Arabidopsis thaliana: one gene and its partners. The protein of the gene in region 2 purifies or fractionates together with the protein of the main gene of each other region. This does not show direct contact. Each region holds a gene or a part of one and is shown on either strand. Other genes may lie near its edges. The genes, in order: PHB3, AT5G37610, PHB5 and PHB4.

What was found.
Region 1: the proteins of AT5G37610 (region 2) and PHB3 fractionate together in Arabidopsis thaliana (co-fractionation; one large-scale study listed by BioGRID). This does not show direct contact.
Region 3: the proteins of AT5G37610 (region 2) and PHB5 fractionate together in Arabidopsis thaliana (co-fractionation; one large-scale study listed by BioGRID). This does not show direct contact.
Region 4: the proteins of AT5G37610 (region 2) and PHB4 fractionate together in Arabidopsis thaliana (co-fractionation; one large-scale study listed by BioGRID). This does not show direct contact.

What each region holds. Positions count from the first base shown.
Region 1 is NC_003076.8:16,313,222-16,319,812, forward strand, and holds PHB3 (prohibitin 3), read right to left. Parts: upstream 4,071-6,591; 5' UTR 3,401-4,070; coding exon 3,089-3,400; intron 2,890-3,088; coding exon 2,368-2,889; 3' UTR 2,350-2,367; intron 2,268-2,349; 3' UTR 1,629-2,267; downstream 1-1,628. Other genes in the region: G6PD6 (glucose-6-phosphate dehydrogenase 6), read left to right, coding at 8-155, 358-453, 560-630, 731-846, 961-1,006, 1,168-1,335. UniProt on the Arabidopsis thaliana protein: Prohibitin probably acts as a holdase/unfoldase for the stabilization of newly synthesized mitochondrial proteins. Necessary for mitochondrial and cell metabolism and biogenesis.
Region 2 is NC_003076.8:14,934,971-14,939,571, forward strand, and holds AT5G37610 (Eukaryotic porin family protein), read left to right. Parts: upstream 1-3,061; 5' UTR 3,062-3,150; coding exon 3,151-3,642; downstream 3,643-4,601. Other genes in the region: GSR 1 (uncharacterized protein), read right to left, coding at 1-76, 165-204, 613-686.
Region 3 is NC_003076.8:4,610,546-4,615,305, forward strand, and holds PHB5 (prohibitin 5), read left to right. Parts: upstream 1-2,556; coding exon 2,557-2,844; intron 2,845-3,016; coding exon 3,017-3,478; downstream 3,479-4,760. Other genes in the region: AT5G14285 (DNA-binding storekeeper), read left to right, coding at 135-899; AT5G14290 (Mitochondrial ribosomal protein L37), read right to left, coding at 1,667-2,065.
Region 4 is NC_003074.8:10,074,380-10,080,348, forward strand, and holds PHB4 (prohibitin 4), read left to right. Parts: upstream 1-2,429; 5' UTR 2,430-2,524; coding exon 2,525-2,836; intron 2,837-3,144; coding exon 3,145-3,672; 3' UTR 3,673-3,684; exon of another isoform or gene 3,685-3,884; 3' UTR 3,885-4,229; downstream 4,230-5,969. Other genes in the region: AT3G27270 (TRAM, LAG1 and CLN8 (TLC) lipid-sensing domain containing protein), read left to right, coding at 1,255-1,327; AT3G27290 (RNI-like superfamily protein), read right to left, coding at 5,659-5,969. UniProt on the Arabidopsis thaliana protein: Prohibitin probably acts as a holdase/unfoldase for the stabilization of newly synthesized mitochondrial proteins.

The DNA of each region.
Region 1 (6,591 bases), 1.4 Mb from region 2:
ACTTCAGGTGCTTCAATCTGTGGTTCCGATAAGCGATGACGAGGTAGTTCTTGGACAATACGAAGGATATAGGGATGATGATACTGTTCCAAACGACTCAAACACTCCAACATTTGCCACAACAATCCTTCGCATACACAACGAAAGATGGGAAGGTACCATGTCCCACTTCACTCTTCATATTTTCATCTATCAGTTCAGAAACAATCTGGAAATTGACATAAAATATGAAGAAAAAACAGAGGTTTGATGGGTCAACATGATCATAGATAGCATCAATCTTTTGGTTAAAGCATGTGGAACCAAAATCCGACATGTTTGCATGCACATTCTAACGGTCCTGGATATATCTTTCAGGTGTTCCATTTATATTAAAGGCCGGAAAAGCGTTGAATTCAAGGAAGGCAGAAATTCGCATTCAATTCAAGGATGTCCCAGGCGACATATTCAGATGTATTGTCTTGCCCTGACATCGTGTTTTGAATCTTCTTTTAGCTTTTTGAATTTAAATATATGTAAAGACACAATGTATCGCTTTGTCTAAACTCTCTTGCAACAGGTCAAAAGCAAGGAAGGAACGAGTTTGTGATACGCTTGCAACCTTCAGAGGCAATGTACATGAAACTAACTGTAAGTATATGATGAACAAACAAACATAATTTACTAATTACTCTGACCTTGAACCACTACAGTGAACCATAACGCTTTTGGCTATGCTTTTGCTACACAGGTTAAGCAACCAGGTCTAGATATGAATACTGTGCAAAGTGAACTAGACTTGTCGTATGGGCAACGGTATCAAGGTGTCGCTATCCCTGAGGCATACGAGCGCTTAATTCTTGACACGTAAGAAATAAATTTTCTAAATTATATACTACCCCAATAGGCTTTATATATCTAATTGATGCCTTCTGTTCCTTCATGTTATCTTCAACATATTTTCTTTCCATCTCTCTGCAGAATCAAAGGCGATCAACAACATTTCGTTCGTAGAGACGAATTAAAGGTAGAAACATTTTCTAACGCCACCCTTAAACCAAAGCAGTCTCTGAGATCGTTTTTTTGTTACATTACAAATGCTCTAACTATAGACACAATCCAGACACAAACTTTTGCATCATACAATTCAGGAGCTAACATTTGTATCCATTTTGATGATTATTACAGGTTGCGTGGGAGATCTTCACGCCGCTACTCCACAGGATCGACAAAGGAGAAGTAAAGTCAATCCCATACAAACCAGGAAGCCGAGGACCGAAAGAAGCTGATCAGCTACTAGAGAAAGCTGGTTATCTTCAGACTCACGGCTATATCTGGATCCCTCCTACACTATAAAACCCTACATATATATAAATACACAATACATGTATCTACATGTATATGTATAAATTATGCTGAATAGTCCCTCCTCGAGTTTGGTGTTTGTACGTGAAACTTGCTACTTCAGCTGTTCACTTTGACACTTCCTTTGGTCTTGTATTTGCGGCTTTGTAGAAATAAAAATAAAAATCTTACCAATACCATAAATGAATTTAGCTTTTGTTGTGCTCGTTAAATGAATGAAATTGACGATGAGATAGAAAAAATTGCCAAAAAATGTAGAGTTTGTTGATATACACACATAAGTTCAATCTAGAGGTGGTTGAAACACACATTAAGTTCCATCTAGAGTTTGTTGACACAGACACATAAGTTGAGTCTAGGAACCGACGCCGTCTTTACATAGTCATCATTATCATTAGATGACCAAAAAAAAAAAAACTAAAACCGATGGATAAAATGGATCTCGATAGAAAAGGCTATCTTTCATGATTTCTCTTCTTTATTTGCTTTGTTTCTGAACTTGCTCTGTTTATGCAAAAACAATTGAATGTCCATACAGATCGAAATTTGACGTAGACTATCGACAGTTTATGCAAAATAGGTACCATCTAGATAATCCAGATGTGACCATAGTTTATCCGCATAGAACAACACTCCTAGGTACCATCTGTATTTTCTTTTCTCACGCATGTGTAACAAACAAATTACTTACAGTTCAGCCAAAATCATTTATTTGTTGAGAATTAGATAAACATGATGCTGAAAACAAAGATTCTTCAGGTAGAGTAAATTTTGCCGAGATTCAGAACACAATAATGACAACTCAAACAACTAGTTTCTTTTTCTTCTTCAGAGTTCATCAAAACAAAAGAGCATTTCACCTTTTTGATTCAATCAGATTCACAACTTGATCATTAAAATATCGCAAAATGCTCCCAAACAACCTGCACATAACCATAATACAAAGCCTTCAGACAAATCACAAAACGACTTAATTCTATGGATTCAGATGAAGCTTTTACATACCATCATATCTGATCAAGATCAACGGTTCAGGGCAAAGAGCATGCTCTGGCCACCGGGTAAGTAGGCCACATTAGGAGACCTAGCAAGTGTAGACGCAATCTCCCTTGAAGCTTCAATCCTCCTAAGCTCGATAAGTCCCATACCAGCTTTAGCCGTAGCATCAGAAATCAACTGAGCAGCTTCACTTTCACCTTCAGCTCTTATAACCGCAGCTCTCCTCTCTTGATCAGCCTTCATCACAACAAACTTAGACCTCTCTGCCTCTTGCTGAGCCACTTGTTTCTGCTCAACAGCCCTTGAAAACTCCACACCATAGGACAAATGCGTGATAGCTACATCATCAAGCACAATGTTGAAGTCCTTCGCACGGGTGATTAGTGACTCCCGAACAAGTGCTGAGACGTGAGGACGCTCAGTGAGAAGCTGGTCAGCGTTGAACTGTGCAACCACAGCTTTCAAAACCTCATTTCCAATCGAAGGAAGAACCTTCTCGTCATACTCTAGACCCAAAGTTTGGAAGATGTACGGGAGACGCGACACCTTCACAACAATTCACATCACATAAACACACCAAATTAATAACGATTCTACAATACCTAGTCCTCGAAACAAATTTTGAAAATCATAGATCATCAAAACCCTAAACCCTAAATCCAATTCGCAAATGAATCTGAAAAACCTCAATTCAGAGAAATCAAACGAGTCTAGATCAAAAATGAAGAACCGTTATGCGTTATACCTCAGGACGAGAGAGAACACGAAGAGTGAGATTAACCATCTGGAGATCCTTAGTACCAGAGATTGAAGAGAACGTGTGAGGCTTCGTGCGGATATCGAAGATGTGAGGCCTCTGAAGAATCGGGATCAAGAAATGAGTCCCTTCACCCACAGTCTGATCCATCACTCCCCTGAATCGATCGAAGATAACAGCTCTTTCTCCGCCGTCAACGGTGAAAAGCGATGTATTCAGCACCGTCGCCGCCGTTCCAAGACCGAAAGCAGCCTTCGCCAAATTGGAAAGGAACGAAACAGCCGCTTGTTGGCTTCCCATTTTTGCGTGTGGATTATCTTGAATCGAGAGAGAAGAAGAAGGAAGAAGAGATTTGAGACGACGAGAGAGGAAAGAGTTTCTGCTAGGGTTTATGATATGTTTCTGGAACCTACCACGGGAAATGATTTAATGGGCCAAGTAACTTAGCCCAATATTATTATGTGACTATATAAGCCTATTAAGAACTAAATTCAATAATGGGTTTCATGACATTGGGCTGAAAACAGCTTAACGGTTACAGAGTATGTTTAATATCTTTTTGTCTCATAAATTATGTTTCTCTCAATTTTTTTTATTTTTTTTTTACTGAAAGATAGATTATAGATAGAGTTTACAAAGTTAAAGCTGACGATTAACAAGATAATCTCAAAAACTAAGTCGACGGATAACAAAAATCCTCGGAGACTAAAGCCCAAAAGTATGGGAAGCTAACAAACATTACTTTAAATGCATAAGAAAATAGAAACTGAACCATGGAAAATCAAAAACTATAACCAGAATCTAGCACATGAGACATTGCCCACCATCAATCCAAGATAAAGAAAAGCTTGCAGAAATGGCTAAACGACGGGGAAATTCTAATCCACAGCATCAAGATAGCAGCTCTTCTTATAACAAATGAAGACTACCTCACAGTTCAAAAACAGCATCCCAACCAGCAAGAAGAAACCAAATATAAAACAGCAAAATCGAGGCAATGAAAACCAAGATCGGTCAACGCCAATAGTTTATCTCAATTTGTTTAATCAAATAAAAATTGAAGAATATACCTACTTGGACATTTGTATGGTGTTAAGGGCCTACTATAAAAGTATTAGATTAGTACAAGCCAACGGTAGTGAACAAAAATATTCTTCGAGCTACTTGACAAACACGAAGTTGAATAAGGATAACTACTTTTTCGTATAAGAAAAATATTTACATGTGAGCATGATTAATCCTTTTCAAATATAACGGCAGGGGACGTTGTTGTTGAGTTTTTCCAGTATAAAAAGTGTTTTTTTTTCCTTAAAAGAAAAGTTGTGAAACAATGATATCTATTTTTGAAAACTTTTTGTGACTATTTTTTGACCAACAAACAGTATACGCGAATACTTTTCTATTCGGTTAAGTGGGATTTGAAGACAGATGTACACGAGTATTAAAACTGAATCTGAAAGCATGTAAATCTCCAAATATTTTATCCGTAAAATTGTTATGTATCTTCGACCAAAAAAATATAGAGATATTATGTATCACTTAATTAATATGACTCAATTAAGTCGTCTCGAATACTAAGAAAATTATGGAGTTTTACTTGGAAGGTCACACAGTGACCTCACCACGTTATCGAAAATGTCAAATGTTTCGGTGTCGAATCTTATACAGGTTTGAAAATAACCTTTAAAATAGATTTATATTACAGAAAAGTCCTTCAATATTGATTTTCAATTAAAATATTGCAGAGAAATCTTTAATTTCAAAAACTAAACGCCAACTTCAAAGATTGAGCTAAATTCGATTCTTTCAACATTTTGACTCCAACCGGATATATATGTAGTCATCAATATTATCGAAACAGGTAAAAGAAACAACCCAAGTGAAGGAAACATGAATCTTTGATAACCAATTAGAGTGAGAAGTGTATAATTGTAAAATAAACAAACTGAAACTAATATTAATATATATATATATAATTATATATATACTACTACTACTATACTAGGTTATTTTGTCAAATATATATATATGGTACATGACAACAATAATAAGAAACAATTTACACTTTTGTGTTTGCTCATCAAGAAATTTGGAACAAAGTCCAACTAATCTTGGGATAGATCGACCAAAACAAAACGTTCACTTGGTTTTTAATCGGTCAGAAAGAATATGTTTAGGCTAAACATTGAATCGAATTATCATCTGACCACCAATGGTAGATCAATAAAAAGTATTGATGTGTTTTTATCTAGCTAGTGAAAAAATTTTAGAATTGCCATTTACTTAAATATGAGACTCATTACATATAATGCAAATATTCTTTAGTCTAAGCTATAATGGATGCTCATTTGTTGTTTAGTGCACATAATTTTCCTCCACCAATGGCCAGTATTTGTTTACAAACTAGTATAAGATAATGTAAGCTAATTATCACATACATGATGTCACGTTGATACACTAAATTATAAAAATTATAATTTAGTGTCAAAGTGCAGATCGAAACTATAGCTAATTGGTGGTGTTGAAATTATTCATACCTTAGTAATAATTATAAAATCAATTGATTGTAATCTAATAGTTTCGTTGACCATATACAACGAAGATGAAATAGATTGACGAGTAAATAAAAATAAATTTGCAATCTGGTGGAGATAAATTTCATCCTTAACCTACAACACTAGGTGACACGTAACAATTAAACCGAGTCAACTGATTATTTCTTTGAAGAAAACTTCCTCTCGTGTACAGCTTCCGAGATGCTTCACTGGAGGCATTAACTACTTTGATCATTTGATTTTTGTTTGCACAATCACTAAATGCAGATACAAACATGCCCGCGCTGAACTATATTACATAAGCATGTATCTCTCATTCGATGCGGAGATACAGACGGAACACTCGAGTTGCCAATTGCGGTTTAGTCTACACGCTTCTATTGAAATAAACATAACAAGTCTAAGATTATGAGCTTACGACATTGGACAACATCCATATAAAACTCCTGTAAACTGTAATTAGGTTATTTAAACCAGTAATTCATATATATAGGATATTTAGTGAGTTGCTTCTTTGAACAACGTATCTCTTTTTTTATTTTTGTCTACTATATTTTCATAAAGTTTTACATGAGATAGATTCATCTTGCGTTTAATCTATTTATATGGTATTAGTATTTATACGCTAATTTGTTCGTCTATTTTTCTCTTTTTTGGAAAAAATTCGAACTTCATCAGTTGACTCATTAAATAACTTTCCCAACAGAGTTTTACTTTACACGTTTTTTCTTCAATCCCAATAAATTCCACACACAAAAACCTAACTATAAAACAGTTTTGACTTTTAAACATTTCAATAACATTTTCTAATCATTGTTATTATTATCATAAGCCATAACATGTCATCACATAAATGCTCACATGCATAACGACGAGATAAATCGAGAGTAAAAATATTCTTTGTGCATATAGGAGTTGTTCGGAATCGGATAATGA
Region 2 (4,601 bases):
GAGCTTGGCCTGTGCTTGAACCATCATAGTTCCACTTTGGTAGCTGCGAAGGGTCAGTCACTGGTCCAGGTAGAGTCTACATATATAAACCAGAATTACTACCAAAAATAGAGATAGACAAAAGTTGACCTTTTCACAAGATTATCTAGAGAATGAAAAATTACCCTGGCTTTGCTTCTCATGTCCATTCCAGAACCACCAACCCTGATTTGGTATTAAAAGAACACCAACAAGAGACAAAATATTTCAGAAAATTCAATCGTTATGTTTAAAAACAGAGCCAAAAACAGAGCCAGAACAGAGCCAAAAAACAGAGCAAACATCATCAGGGGATAAAAAGTTTTGCAGTATTGGCAGATTCAGGAGCCTAATAGATTTATCAGCAAATTAAACATAGATCTGAAGAATAAACAAAACCAAATTGGCTCTAGAGGACTAAGAACAACCAAAGGCAGACACAAAACCAAAACTATAATCCATACAATCCCAAAAAGTAAAACAGAGTCAAAAGTTGAAAAAACAACACGAACCCATTAGATTTAGGTTTGATACGAGAACATATACACAAACAAAAAACGATTTTTATGAAAGAAACAAAAGAAGAAGACGAACCATATGTATTCAGCAATGATTTTGTCAGTGGAGTCTGAGAGGTTAAGGTTGATGAGATCTGAAACAAGACTCATGGCTACAAATACCAAGGGTTTGGATGATAGTAACAGTAATAAAAATGGAATCAAATCTGTCTCGTGTTTTGATATTTTGGTAGAGAGAGATATGAAGAGTAGTACTTATAGAAGGAGGAGGGGTGGGTGCAGAGATTGAGGAAGAGGGTGACGTGAAGACTTTGGAGACTTTTTGGCTCTCCACAAGGAAAGAAACAAAAAATACAACTAAATATCAGGAATAAAATTATAAAGATTCTTTCGCGGCCCAATGGAATCTCATATTTTTCAGGAATATTAAAGTTTACATATATAGACACACCAGGTTACAATTTTGTATGAGGTCATTGGAATAAAAAGAGAAAGAAATGTAATTATTTAAGGTAAAAATCTCTTTCTGTAAATGCTAAAATAAAATTTGGGAAAAATATTAATATTCTTAATACTACATTTTCTGTGTTATTGATTTTTAAATTATTAATTTTAATTGATACAAACATAATATGATATAACAATATATTTTTTTTTAATATGTGTAAAAAAAATCTTAAATGATATATAAAACAAAACGGACAAGTATAATTGATATATTATTTTATTTGTGCAAAATATATCAATAGATTTAGTATAATAATGTTTTAAACGGTGATTAGGTGGAACCATAATTAAACACTCTAATCATCTTGAAATTAGTATTTGTTTTCTAATGCAACTTACTTAGATTATTATTTTTAAACGAAATTCGCTTACTTAAATTTAGTATTAGATCGAAACCATTTGTCTCACATCTCCGGTTTCTCTCCAATCATTTTATGGGGTTTAAGGTCATTAATCATAAACAAGAATCAAAATAAATCTTTCCTTGAGGAATTTTGTGAAAATATCACGGTGTCATATCAATATCACAAGGTCATTGTTTTGTCTATCGAATCTTCGATCATCTTGAATCTATTCTGGTTTTTTTCCACAATGACTTTTCAACACAAAATATTGTTCTTACTTGACAAGAAAACGAGTACCAAAGAAACCGGAGATACTCTAAATTCTTAGCCATACAAACCCAAGTAAACTATCTAAAACCAAAGATTTTTGTTTTTGTTTTTTTGGTTTATATTCAACTTTATTAAAGATAATGAAACTCAAATATATATTCCGATTAGATAGTTGAGTTGACTTTGTTTTGGGAGCATGTAAGAGGACGTTTATGACGGGCATCGGTTGACTCGGCCCACAACCGTAAGAGTTGAAGTCTAAAATTGTTGACTTTTTTTTTAATTTTCTAAAAATATAATTATTTTTGACAGTTAAAAGTTAATTTCAAATCATATTTAATTATTTATTGAACACACATCTAATATATTCTTTGCAATTATATGATAACTTTTCATTTGAACAAAATTTGTAGTATCAATTCAACGTAGCTCCAATTAGATGACTACAAAGTCTGACATGTGGGATTTGTAAGCTTATAGTTTTAGAGAAGTCATAATGTCTTTCGATAATGTCTTTCGATAGAAGGTTCAAGCCAAAGACATCGATTGATTCGACAAAATTATCAAGATATATCTATCTTCTTATATAAATTCAAGATTCCGGTTAAACGTCTCAAAAGAGTTCTAATCATAAACAAGAAATTCAAAAAACTCTTCGGCTCAGAGGAGAGTGACCAAGAATTTTATCTTCTCCAGGAAGTCATTATTGATACGAATTTTTCTTTGAAACCGAAGTTCCTAAGAGTCAGATATAATTCTCTCATCTCAGTCTCCATTCTAAATTTTGAGGGAGACTGAAAGGGGATTAAGATGAGAGAATTAGGGTTCGGAGATTGAGAGAGAATTAAGATGATTCAGATATTTTCTTTCTAAAAGGAGAGAGGAACCAAAAGAAAAAAAATGTAGCGTGGATTAAGAGTTTAATTGAATATATTTTCTTCTAAATTGTAAATAGGATCTCCAAAACGGAAATGATACGAAAATTTTAGAACTTCTATATAATTTTTTTTTTATATCTTCTCTATGTCTCACTAATTTAGAAAATATAATAAAATCGTTTGATTTTAGTTAACTATGCTTTGGGAAAGATGTAATTTATTAAATATTTAAGAGAATAAACCAGAAAACAATTAACTACTTTTTAAACGATGGATATATAAATCAGAAATTAAAAATAGAGAACCCAAAGTAATAACATAATTTAATTTTTAATTTTTAATTTATATTGGATTAATATATATTCTAAATATTTGTGGTATTATATATTTATTTATATTATTTTTTTGTGCACCCAATTTTATTTATATTTATATTATATTTTTGTAGTAGACATCCCTAGAGAGTAAGCACAAGTTGGACATCTTTAGAGAGTAAGCAATATTATATTTATATTGATGTTGGGTTCTAATGACATCTAGAGTTTGCTTACCTCCTTGATTCTTTGCAATGTGTCCCTGTCCAATCGAAATGACTACAACCATGCTCAGTTGAACATGTTATCCGAACGGGCCAGAATCAGTACAATTGTGGGGTTGTTTGCAAATCCAATTCTCAGTTTTTCTGCTGTATTCGGAAATGACTTTTGGCGATTTGGATTTGAGTTAACTTTGGATCTTGTGAACCGGATAATCACTAAGGCAAACACAGTTCTTAGTTTGATCACCGAGGACACAACAACCACCTTTTCCATTGATAAGAAAGCAAGCTTATTCACTGCTTCTTACTACCAGCGCTTGCACTCTAAAACAGTGTGTGGTGCTGAGGCGAAGTACATATTATCTGACAAGAGCAACTCTTTCTCCATTGGGAAGAGACATTTATTTGGTGATGACGATTTGATCCAAGCTTTATTGAGTGTGAGCAATGGTGGTTCTATGAGAGTTCTTTTTCAACATCATTGGACTTTGAAATCATTTTTCACCATAGCTGGAGAAAGATTGTTGAACCATTCAAGTCAACGATTTGGTTTAGCAGTTGAACTATGAATAGTGATCACTTTTAAACCCTTTTTTTGTGTAATTCTGGTTACAAATTTATGATGAAATATGTTTTAAGTTTTTGTTTAAGATTAGGTGAATAATCTATTTCTGTTTTATTTAAGATTTTTTTATTAAAAAAAAATATGAAATGGAATCGACGAAACTAAATTGGATACGTACACGGGACCTATGAATAATGACAGTGTTAATACTTGTACCTTCAGAATTGTCCGATAACAATTATTGCATTCACAACTTGCATAAGGTGACATATCGACAAAAAAGTACATTCATTTTCAACTCTCTGCATTGCATATGTCATGTTTCTTAGACGATCGATTCAATCATTTTGTAAATAAATAATAATTATTGCATAGAAAGATTACAGTAGCTAGGGTGATTTAAGATCATATGCCATGTGTGTTTCAAATTAAGTTTATGACAAAATAACATGTTTTTGATCATTATAATGACATATATATTTCATTATTTTGAAATTCTTATTGAAATGTATTTTTTCATTATTCTACAGCATAATCTACCAAAGCTATATTGAATTTTCGCCCACTAGACCAAATTTTATAGATTCAAACTAGTAGACTTTTCCGAAATATTTGACTTAAGTTGCTTTAGATAAACGTTTTGCGGTAGTTAACTAATGATATATGTAGGCTAATGATTTGATTTATTTCTCACTAATATTCGATATCCACATAATGTATATTATTAGACAAAATTATATTTCTTGAAACAAATATATATTCTTAAATCAAAGAAATATCGTATAATTTTATTAATCAGCTAAGATCAAAAACAAATTAATTAATTGGTGAGCAGATCAACGACGTGCAAGAAAACTATCAAATAATAATAGTACGGAGTGTCTCTAAAAATATTCCTAAGGTGGGCCAACTGATTGTTACACATTTTAATTAAATGTTGGTGATAATGTAATGATGATGTAT
Region 3 (4,760 bases), about 10 Mb from region 2:
TGTCTATCAGTCTATCGTTTAAGCTAAAACTCAACGAGACGACAGACGATAAAAAGGGATTAAGTTTCTTCTGTGTAGATTATTCTTCTTCTTCTTCTTCTTCCATTGTCTCTTGGGTTGAGATTCCGATCTCAATGTCGATCAATATCGGAGAAATCTCAATTCCAGACCTTCCTATCTTCTTCTCCATGTTCTTAACCATCTACCTAATCGCTTACTTCATCGTCTTCCGCAATTGGAAACCACAAATCCGTCCCGAAGCTTCAAGCTGCCTGATCTCAATCTTCCATGGATCTCCAGCGGTTTTCCTCGCCACACGCGCAGTTTTCTCCTCCTCCGAACGCTCCTTCGCCTCCGCAAACACCGCCGCACAAAACACCGTCCTCGATTTCAGCGTCGCTTACTTCCTCACCGATCTCTTCCACTACATCGTCTTCAACCCTAACGACGTACTCTTCATCGGCCATCACGTAGCCACTCTATTCGTCTTCCTAACCTGCAGATTCCTCGTCTTCCACGGGGCTTGCGCCATCTTAGGCCTCCTGATTCTAGCTGAAGTAACAAGCGCGTGTCAGAACGCGTGGACGCTCGCCGGAGCAAGGAAGAATGATCCGGAATCACGATTAGCTGTGAAAGTGTACGATCTCTTGTCTCCTCCGTTTTACGCCTTCTACAGTATCGTTAGGGGTGTGTTGGGACCTTTGTTTTTCGGGAAAATGGTAGCGTTTTACGCTCGAGGTGGTGCTCATGGTGTGATACCTAATTGGTTGTGGATTTCTTGGGCAATTGTTGTTGGAATTGCTATTACTGTTAGTATACTTTGGATTTGGAATCTCTGGATAGAATTGTTTAGTGAAAGGAAAGCTAACAAAATCAGAGTAGACAAGAAAATTAGATAGTTTCTTCTTTCTTCTCTAGATCATTGTTTGATCTTCCTTTTCATGTACTATATATAATATATATACCATTATTATTCTCACCTTTTAGAATTCCTCTAAATGATGTATGTTTTGGAATAATAGATTTGCTTTTGGGTAAGCAGTATGTGCAAAATGCACTTTTAATTCAACTCTGTATTGTTCAGAAGTTCTTCTCTTAAGAGTTTCTTCCATACACATATGTCTTGTCTCTCTGCTACACTTGGTTGCTCACATCTTGATTCTTGATATTGATGAGAAACGTTTTCTTTATGAAGTGTGCCATTCTTGGTGAGTTATATTTGGCTTTATAACTCTCTTTGTTTACGGCCAACACCAAGTCCCCTGAAACCAGCAACTGGTAAGCCATATATTCTTTTACTTGGAAGAATCAAAAGTTAGCTGGGGAAGTGTAAGAAATTACGAAACACAGAGATTCATATCTTCGATCATTGGATTGTGAACTTTTCATGTGTTGAAGAGGATAGGAAGAGAATTGGGGACTAAACATACCATCCAAGCTGAGACATGGTGTTAGGCAGTCTGTTGTGGAAAGCTGAATGATATACCATTTGGCCAATGAATAGCATAAAATACACAAATTTAACCAATTTACTGAGAAGAGCATGGAATTAGAGAAAAATCTTTTAAGATCAAATAATCCCAAAGATAATAAGGAAAATGAAGGGATTGCTCAAACAAGGGGAATTATAAGGGACACATACAACAAGTCATTGTTGAATCTCATTTCAGTTCTTGGCCTTGATAGAATGGTTCTCCTTGATTCTAGCTCTGGTATCCAGCTTCACAAAACGTTTAAGATCATCAAAACTAAGAGTCTCAACGTTCTTCCTTCTAAGTTCGCTAAGCGCCGGTCGCTTATCAAGCAGATGCCATAAATAATCAGGGTGATCTGAATTAGGCAAGATCTTAGGGTCCAATCCATCTTTCAGAGTATTAGCACTAACAACCATACTCGATTTGATCTCTTTGCTCAAGTTCGATGCTTTTGGTGCATCATTACCTCCATCTCCCCTCCCAACCTTCTTCGCTTTACCAGCAGCTGTAGCAAATGTTCTTTGGCACACAAATCGCATTACATCTTTGGATCTAGAAATGGAATCCCCAAACATTCGAATAAGGTTCATATCAACAACCTTATACCTGCAAATTCACAAAATAAAACTAAATAAATCTACACAATCCTATAATGTTCGTTCTCGGATTTAGATCAAGATTCGAGTTTTGTCGAAGATTTTTGGGTGAGGGTTTAACTCGCAAGATAGAGATAGGTAGCGAGTGCATCGCGGGAACTGGTAAAACTTATTAAAAAGTAACGGACCGGAAAATTAAAAGACCCGTCTAAAAGCCCACCAATAGTAATGCATACAAGTAACACGTGGCAGGTATGGTTGACCGAGTGAGTAACAGAACGTGAGAAAACCGACCCGCTAAATAAGAACCCGCCCAATATAATAAGCTTTCTCCTTAACTTCTGCCTCACGCAAAAAAAAAAACTTCCTATAAAACCTCATCTCCTGCGTTCTCTAACTACTTCTCACCTATCTGACAAGAAAAGAAACCCTAAACAACATAAAAAGAAACCTAAAATCCATACAGGAGACATTCAAAGCCAATCATGCCTTGGTCAAAGTTCACAAAGGTAGCTCTAGGTCTAGGAGCTGCCATAGCGGCTGTGAGATCAACAATGTTCACCGTTGATGGTGGCCAGAGAGCTGTTATGTTCCACCGATTCGAAGGGATTCTAGAAGAACCAGTAGGAGAAGGGACACATCGTAAGATTCCGTGGGTGCAAAAGCCGTATATCTTCGACATTCGGACCAAACCCTACAAAATCAATACCGACTCTGGAACTAAGGATCTTCAGATGGTCAACCTCACACTTCGTGTTATGTTTCGCCCTGATGTAAGTTCCCGCGAATATCCAAAAAATTTCACTAATAAGATTTTGTGATATATATGTAAAATAATATATAACTGTTTTCCGTGGGTTCGTGTTAGGTTTCGCGCCTCTCGTATATATACCAAAACTTAGGTCTCGACTATGGTGAAAAGGTCCTACCAGCGATCGGGACGAGGTGGTTAAAGCGGTGGTGGCTCAGTTCAACGCTGACGAGCTCTTAACAGAACGTCCACAGGTCTCAGCTCTTATACGCGAAACGTTGATCAAGCGAGCTAAGGAGTTCAACATTGTTCTCGATGACGTGTCGATCACTGGTCTCTCATACGGTAAAGAGTTCTCACTTGCGGTGGAGCGGAAGCAGGTGGCACAGCAAGAAGCTGAGCGGTCCAAGTTCGTAGTGGCAAAGGCTGATCAGGAGAGACGAGCGGCTGTGATTAGAGCAGAAGGAGAGAGCGAGGCGGCTCGGGTTATATCGAAAGCGACTGCAGGGGCTGGGATGGGGTTGATCAAGCTCAGAAGGGTCGAGGCGGCTAGAGAGGTTGCGATTACGCTCTCTAATTCTCCCAATGTCGTCTATTTGCCAAGTGGTGGGAATATGTTGTTTGCAATGAACGGTCCAAGCAAAGTTGTTGCTTGAATTAGTTGCAAAAATATGGTGTTCAATGGTTATATTGATTTGTGTGTTTTAAGATTTTCATTTTTTTATATAGTTTCCTAGTATTGGATCACCCTAGTATACTCCAGTTGAGACTGTTCTTGCGAGTCTGAGACTCGCACACATGACACATGACACATCTACTGTTAAGTCGACATTGACATCAAATTAAACAATCACTGTGCCAATCAAACTTATGCATAGACCTAGAGATAATTAAGTAGTCCAAGTTCAAAGGTTGATCTAACCTGGATCAGTGCCCTTGGTAGCTATGGCACATACTTCCTCACTAGGGAAAATGGGAGCTGATTATCCAGCAGCTTTCGATTAGATATCAACAAACAAAATGCAAATTAGGTTATCTTAGAAAGAAAAAAAAACAAGCTATTCATCGGATCACAAGTCACAAGTGTCACCTCGAAAGAAACTTGGGCCCATCTATATTATCTTATGGGCCTTATCGACCGATTCAAATATTGCAAATTAGTGTCGTTAACCTTTTTTGAAAACATACGGCCATTAGTGACAATTTAATTAATATTCTACAAATTCGAGCAGTGTCTTCTACATTTCTTTGTAAAGTCTTTGGTTTTTAATTTTAAGGTCAAGTTCACCATGAGCGACCAAAGTTTTGAATTTTTCAAGGTTTTTATTTTCATTTTATCGTTGTATGGAGAAAGTTTCTTATATCTTCATTTGAACATTGAATAGAATTATTAAACATTATAATTCAAGGTAGGATGGTCAAACAATTATTCTAGATTTCCCTCTTAAATTCCCAAATTTAACATAATTTAAGCTTTTGGTAACCAAAAATCTAACATCTTACAAAATTTAATAAATGTTTTTGGCCCAAAGAAAATTTATAGTGCTGGCAAAAGAAAAATTATAATGAATGTGCTCTTAATTAAATAACCAAGATGAGTTGATTAATTATGGATTTTGTAACAAAATAAATAATTTAAGGTGCTGTCATTTTGCCCACACGTCTATGATTAAAAACATAATGAAGTGTCAATAATCTCTATGATTAATAGTTTTGGAATCTTACTCAATAAGTTCCAATTTATAAAATCAGTGAATAGCAAAGATATATAAATAATACGCAAAGAGAAAAGAAAGAAAGAAAAAAAAAACTTTCAGCATTTGTACGTTTCTAGAATTTTACAAATCACAAAAGCAAGAGAGAACATTCGTGTTACGGTAACCGCGTTTCAGAGGATCATTTTCTCATATCTCTCTCGTAGCCAATGACACTTTCTCC
Region 4 (5,969 bases), on a different chromosome or scaffold from region 2:
TCCCATTATCTCTGGACTTGGAGCTATATGATCAGTACTATCATTGAATTTAGACACAAATTGGTTATAAGGGTGTTCGTTTAATATAGTTTGGTATTCGGTTTTTACAAAATAAATTTGAAAATCCGAGACAAATTGGATATTCAAAATAATTGACAGATCGTAAGGTTTATTTTTATTGAAGATAGAATACTTTTAATTATTATTGTGAGTCGGTCTTAGGTTGTTGAGACGAAAGTTAATTATAAGAATGTTTGTCACAACCCATTACTAAGTCTAAAGCATAGAAAACTTGGGATGACTAAACTTGGGGTGACTTGTACAATATCAAAAATCGAGATCATTGCCTCGGACAATAATAAATTCCACAAAAGTACGAGTGACTAGTGTCCACGAGACTAGTGGTTGAAAATTAGGACTTGAATTCATTCCCTCTAGAAGTTTATACAAATTTCAGACCAACTTTTTAATTAACACTTTTTTTCATTTATTTTTTCTTGAGCAAAATAAGAGAGGAAGTAAGATAGATTAAAATTTAAACAACCACAAGATAAACATGCTTTAAGATTCTAGTTAAGAGATGGATAATTGAACGAATCCAAACCAATTGGAGGGGAATGGTCTGTTAGATTTCACATGTTAGAGGTTCCTCCATGAAGTCTAGAGTTAGACTCTTTCGAAATCTCACAAAATGTAGCTTGAAGGATGAGTTTGACATCAACAATCTGTTGGTCCAATAGTAAATCTCCCAGATGGAGGTGTTGAGTTCAAAGCATGTTGGGAGGGATTTTTTCTCCTAAAAAGATGAATTTAACTTGGTGTAGGTCTCGCCAGGCTGACCTCGCCCATATTTACAAATTACAATATCATCAAAACCCGAAGGAGTAAACAAAGAGTGGTGATTAAAGAATGAAGTGTCATTTTAAATAGCTCCCACTTGTTTTTCTCTCGATCTCAATCTGACAGAAACTGATATATTCCACTGATCTTCATCGATTCATCAAAGTTTTAGATTTTAATTCAGATTTCATCTTAAGGGAGGGTATTACGAGTATAGGAATGTGATTATCATATTAATGAAAGTTGAGGTTTTAAAAATAGCTTAACCAAACAAATGTAATCTTGCCAAAAAGATATAAAATGAGTCCATCAACAAAATTTATCGGAGTTACAAGATCATCAGATTCCGAAAAGCTTTTCTGTTTATGCGAGCGGTAATAGTGTTTTTTGATGTCTCCGTCGATTTCTTTGAAGGTGGCCAAAGGCGAAACGGAGACACTATTGTGCAACAAGTTGTTCATTTGTTTCCAAACATGGTAAGCTGTAGCATGAGCAACTCCTACTAATTTCCAAAGAATTGTGGGAGCAGTCTCTGTTTTTAGCTTAGTCCAAGCCAGAATTGAAATCCAAGTAATAAAGATATAAGGCGATATCGTTAATCCTCTTCTGGTGTTTTCTGTATGTAAAACGGCGTCTTTCTTTTGATTCGAAACGGAGGAGTTTGTGAAGGGTAACAAGACGGAATGGTTCTTTATATCTGGGAGGACCAAGATGGGGAAATGTGGAAAAAGAATGAATCGTAGAGACAATGGAGGATACTGGAGGGTAGTATCATCTCTGCCAAGAAGATTCATGCTGGAGAAGCAGGCCTTGTCGGCTACAAATACTCACTAGAGTACTACATTGGAAAACAACCAAAATGGCGTAAAAGAGGGTTGGTTGATGCATGAACACTGGCTTAAGTCTTCTGATGATATTAATAACTACGAGCTGGTAAGAGTATATATGTACGTTTACTTACTTGGTTTCCAAGTTATTGAGACTCTTGAGTTTTGGTTTTTATTGTGACGACTTCTGTTGTTTTGTTTGAGTAGGGCAATTATGCTATGTGCAAGATCTATCTGAGTCCACACGCAGCAAAGAAGAAGAAAACACACGATGAAGAGATCGACGATTTAGTTCAATTTGTGGAAGCAGCCTTAGATGTTTCTTTTTATCTACTTTTGCTGTCCAAAGTCAGAGGTCTCATTGTCTTTATATAGAATTTCTTGTATATAACATTTTCCACTGGTTGTATAGAAAAATCAATTTTAGTCTTTTGTGCTTATTCACTCTAATCAAAATCTCTAATCAAGGTGAAGGAGGAGGTGGAGGAAGAACATTTTCATCTTGCTCTCTAAGAAGATCCAAAATCTCTGCAGGGTTGTTATCAACACGCTCTTCGTCTCTGTCTTCCTCTCCGGATTTAGTTTCGTTTATGGGCAAATAATCAAATTCGGGTTTAATCTTCCAAACCGTTGTTTCCTTTTATATTACATCATTTCCTTTTCCTTTTTTATTATTGGGCCGAAGTAGTTTATATTATTAATGGGCTTTAAACAAGCCCATATTCAATAATTGTCGGCCAAAAAAAACCCTCTCTTCCAAGTTCCAAAATCATTTCATAAACCCTAACAAACCCCTAAATCTTTCCTTTCTCAATTCTCTCCTTCGAAGCTTTTTTCTTGTGAGGTCAGAAAAGAAAATGGGAAGTCAACAAGTAGCGATTTCGTTTCTGACGAACTTGGCGAAGGCGGCGTTTGGGTTAGGTGTGGCGGCGACGGCACTAAACTCGTCGCTCTACACTGTTGATGGTGGCGAGAGAGCTGTTTTGTTCGATCGATTCAGGGGAGTGTTGGATCAGACCGTCGGCGAAGGGACTCATTTCTTGATCCCGTATCTCCAGACGCCGCACATATACGATATTCGTACGAAACCTCACACTTTCTCCTCCAAATCTGGTACTAAGGATCTTCAGATGGTTAATCTCACCCTTCGTGTTCTCTTTCGCCCTGAGGTAATTTCGATTTTAGCAACAATCAATTTCTCGATTCTGTGTTTGATTTTGTATACATTGGTTGTTTACAAGATCGAGGGTTTAGGATGATCGTGTTCGTTCGATTTAGCAATCATTTATCGATTCTGTGTTTGATTTCGTGGAATTTGAAGTTTGTGTACAAGATCTAGAGTTGAAGATAATCCTTATGTGTAATTTGGTTTCTTCGATGAATGTTACTCTTATTATAGAAGCTTTTGGTGCATATCTATGCTGGCTTCGATTGTTTGAGGGATTGAATAAGTTGTTGTGGTTATTTTACTGTGAAGGTTTCGCGTCTCCCGTACATTTTCCAAACATTGGGTCTTGAATACGATGAGAAGGTTCTTCCATCGATTGGAAATGAGGTCTTGAAAGCTGTGGTTGCTAATTTCAATGCTGATCAGCTCCTCACTGAGCGTCCTCAAGTATCAGCACTTGTTCGTGATGCTCTTATCAAGCGTGCCAGGGAATTTAACATTGAGCTCGACGACATAGCCATTACTCACTTATCGTACGGTGCTGAGTTCTCGAGGGCAGTGGAGGCGAAGCAAGTGGCTCAGCAGGAAGCTGAAAGGTCAAAGTTTGTGGTGATGAAGGCTGATCAAGAGAGGAGAGCTGCGGTTATAAGAGCAGAAGGTGAGAGTGAAGCTGCTCAGTTGATATCAGATGCAACAGCTAAAGCAGGAATGGGACTAATTGAGCTTAGGAGGATTGAAGCTTCAAGGGAGGTTGCGGCTACTCTGGCTAGGTCTCCGAACGTGGCTTACTTACCTGGTGGACAAAGCATGCTCTTTAATCTGAACCCTGGTCGTTGAGCTATAACATTGGTATGCTCTTTTACTTCTTTGAATAATGAATGAAAAATGGATTTGGACTTAAGATTCCCATTTAAAGGCATTAAGGTTATTCGGTTTGGTTGAACTAAGAGTGGTTATGGTTTGGTATAAACTGTTTGGTTTGATAGTAGAGTATGGTTTAGGTTTGTGGAATGGTGTGGTTTACTTGTTTGGCCTTGTTGTATTTGCAGGTGGGAAGAGGAGCTTCAGTGGAGACAAAACGACGGAGCTGTGAAGTTTATTAACGTTGATGCTCTTTTATTTCTGATGAACACGATGTGAAAAAAGATAATTGTTTTGAGCCGTTCTATCTTTTCTGACTCTAGAAGTAAAGACTATGCCATTGTTGTCGAAACCCGATCATTCCAATGAAAGGCTTCACCAAAAAATCTACCATAACAATAGTCGAAATTTGTATTGTCAAAAACAATTTCCAACACCAAGGTTGTTGTACTTGTATTATTTAAAATATAAATTAAAACATGGTAAATAAATTAAATAAAACTTTTTTATGTGGTCACTTTGGTGGCTTCGGTACATGCGGTGGCCTCTTGTGGTGGGGTAGACAAACTCTAAGTATAGTGCATTCACAAACTTTAACTTTTCCCTTCAAATTACAATTTGCTCCACCATAACCTTCGTTGTTACAACTCGTTCGGCACCTCCTAGCACCGTCTACCTTATTACACGTCTCTGGCGGTGCTTTGCTTGGATAATCATCACACAATTCCCAATTCATTGCTTTTCCTAATACAATAATTCGATCAATTACAAGTATTTATATCGTATTGATTATATATGCATATTTTTGTTTTTTTTCAATGAAAATATATTTGGTAGAAGATTTAATATTATTTACGATTTTATCTCCTTGTAGTGATTTATTTTACAGCTAAATTACAATTTTGACAAATTTCCTTAATTTTTTTTTTAAATGAGTATAAGAAGTTCCATTTTTTCAATATTTGTATATCTTGTAATTTATAAACCAAAAGTTTAACCGCAAATAACACCTTTTTTTTTTGTTGCATTAAGCATCTATCATTATAAATCAAACTTTTAGACATTTTGTTTTTCCTTTTATAAGTTTTTATTTTTCTTTGTTAATAGAGTGTTTTATGAATAATAAATCTAAGTGTCATATTGCTATATATCAGGAATTATTATTTCTAAAAATAGAAGAAGAAATGAGAGATAATCCGTAAAAAATGCCTATGAAATTGTTTAATGAAAAGAAACATTCATTATTAATTTATATCATAATTCTCTTTTTTCATATAACTTTGATATGTTTCTTTATTAAAAATATGTTATTTAAACGTAATAATTACCTACATGATATTATGCATTATACACTGGATGTACAAACTGCGAATAAGTATTGGAATATGAGAGGTATTATTAAGTAAACTAGGTTTGGATGAAGTGACTAGTGAGGATGGTTGGGAGATCTTGCAATGAAAGTTTGTGATCATGGGCTCATGTTTCCAGGGAATGTACAAGCAGGAGTGGATTGATAAGAGATTGATCCATTTTGAAAATTATACAAGTCATTTAACAAAAGCTACATATGGAGGAGATTAAAAGACTAATTAATGATAATGTAAAATAACTCTGATATATTCTTTATTCTCTTCTCTTTTCTTGTAAGTTCTACTTATTTCCCATTTGAATCCTGGTGCTTCAACTTTCAAGTAAAGCTCTAGTCTTTGCTTCTCTTCATCTCTCATGATCAAGTTTGACTCGAGTCCGTTGCAGAATCAAGTTTAGCTCAGATCTTTCATGATGCTGTAGATGAAGACTAAACACCCTTCTGAGTCTTATCATGTTTCCATTTTTTGTTGCAGCTCTTCTTATTGACTTAGGTTTGATACCTCAAGCACCAAGACTCTTCATTCTTCAGAAAACAGTGTATTGAGGATCAAAGTAATGTGTTAAGCTTCGGTTTTGACTTCAAATAAACTATTATAAGCGGTTAGACCTCTTCTCAATGCATACCACACAGCTGAATGCAAAACAGAACGGCTTGTTTTCACAGTCATTTAAGCAACTCCCACACTCATGGCAACGTTCTATGCAGACAACGCAAGCTCTGCAAGATGACTTAGAATAAGGATATTGACCCTTCAATGGACATGTATCTGCTGGACAATCAAATACCAGACTTGGTTTCTCACACCAGGGGCATATCTCGAGGTCAGTAACTCGATCATCCTCTAAATAGAATTCTGATCTACAAGACGTATAGAATCTCTTCTTCCTCTCTTGTAAACCCA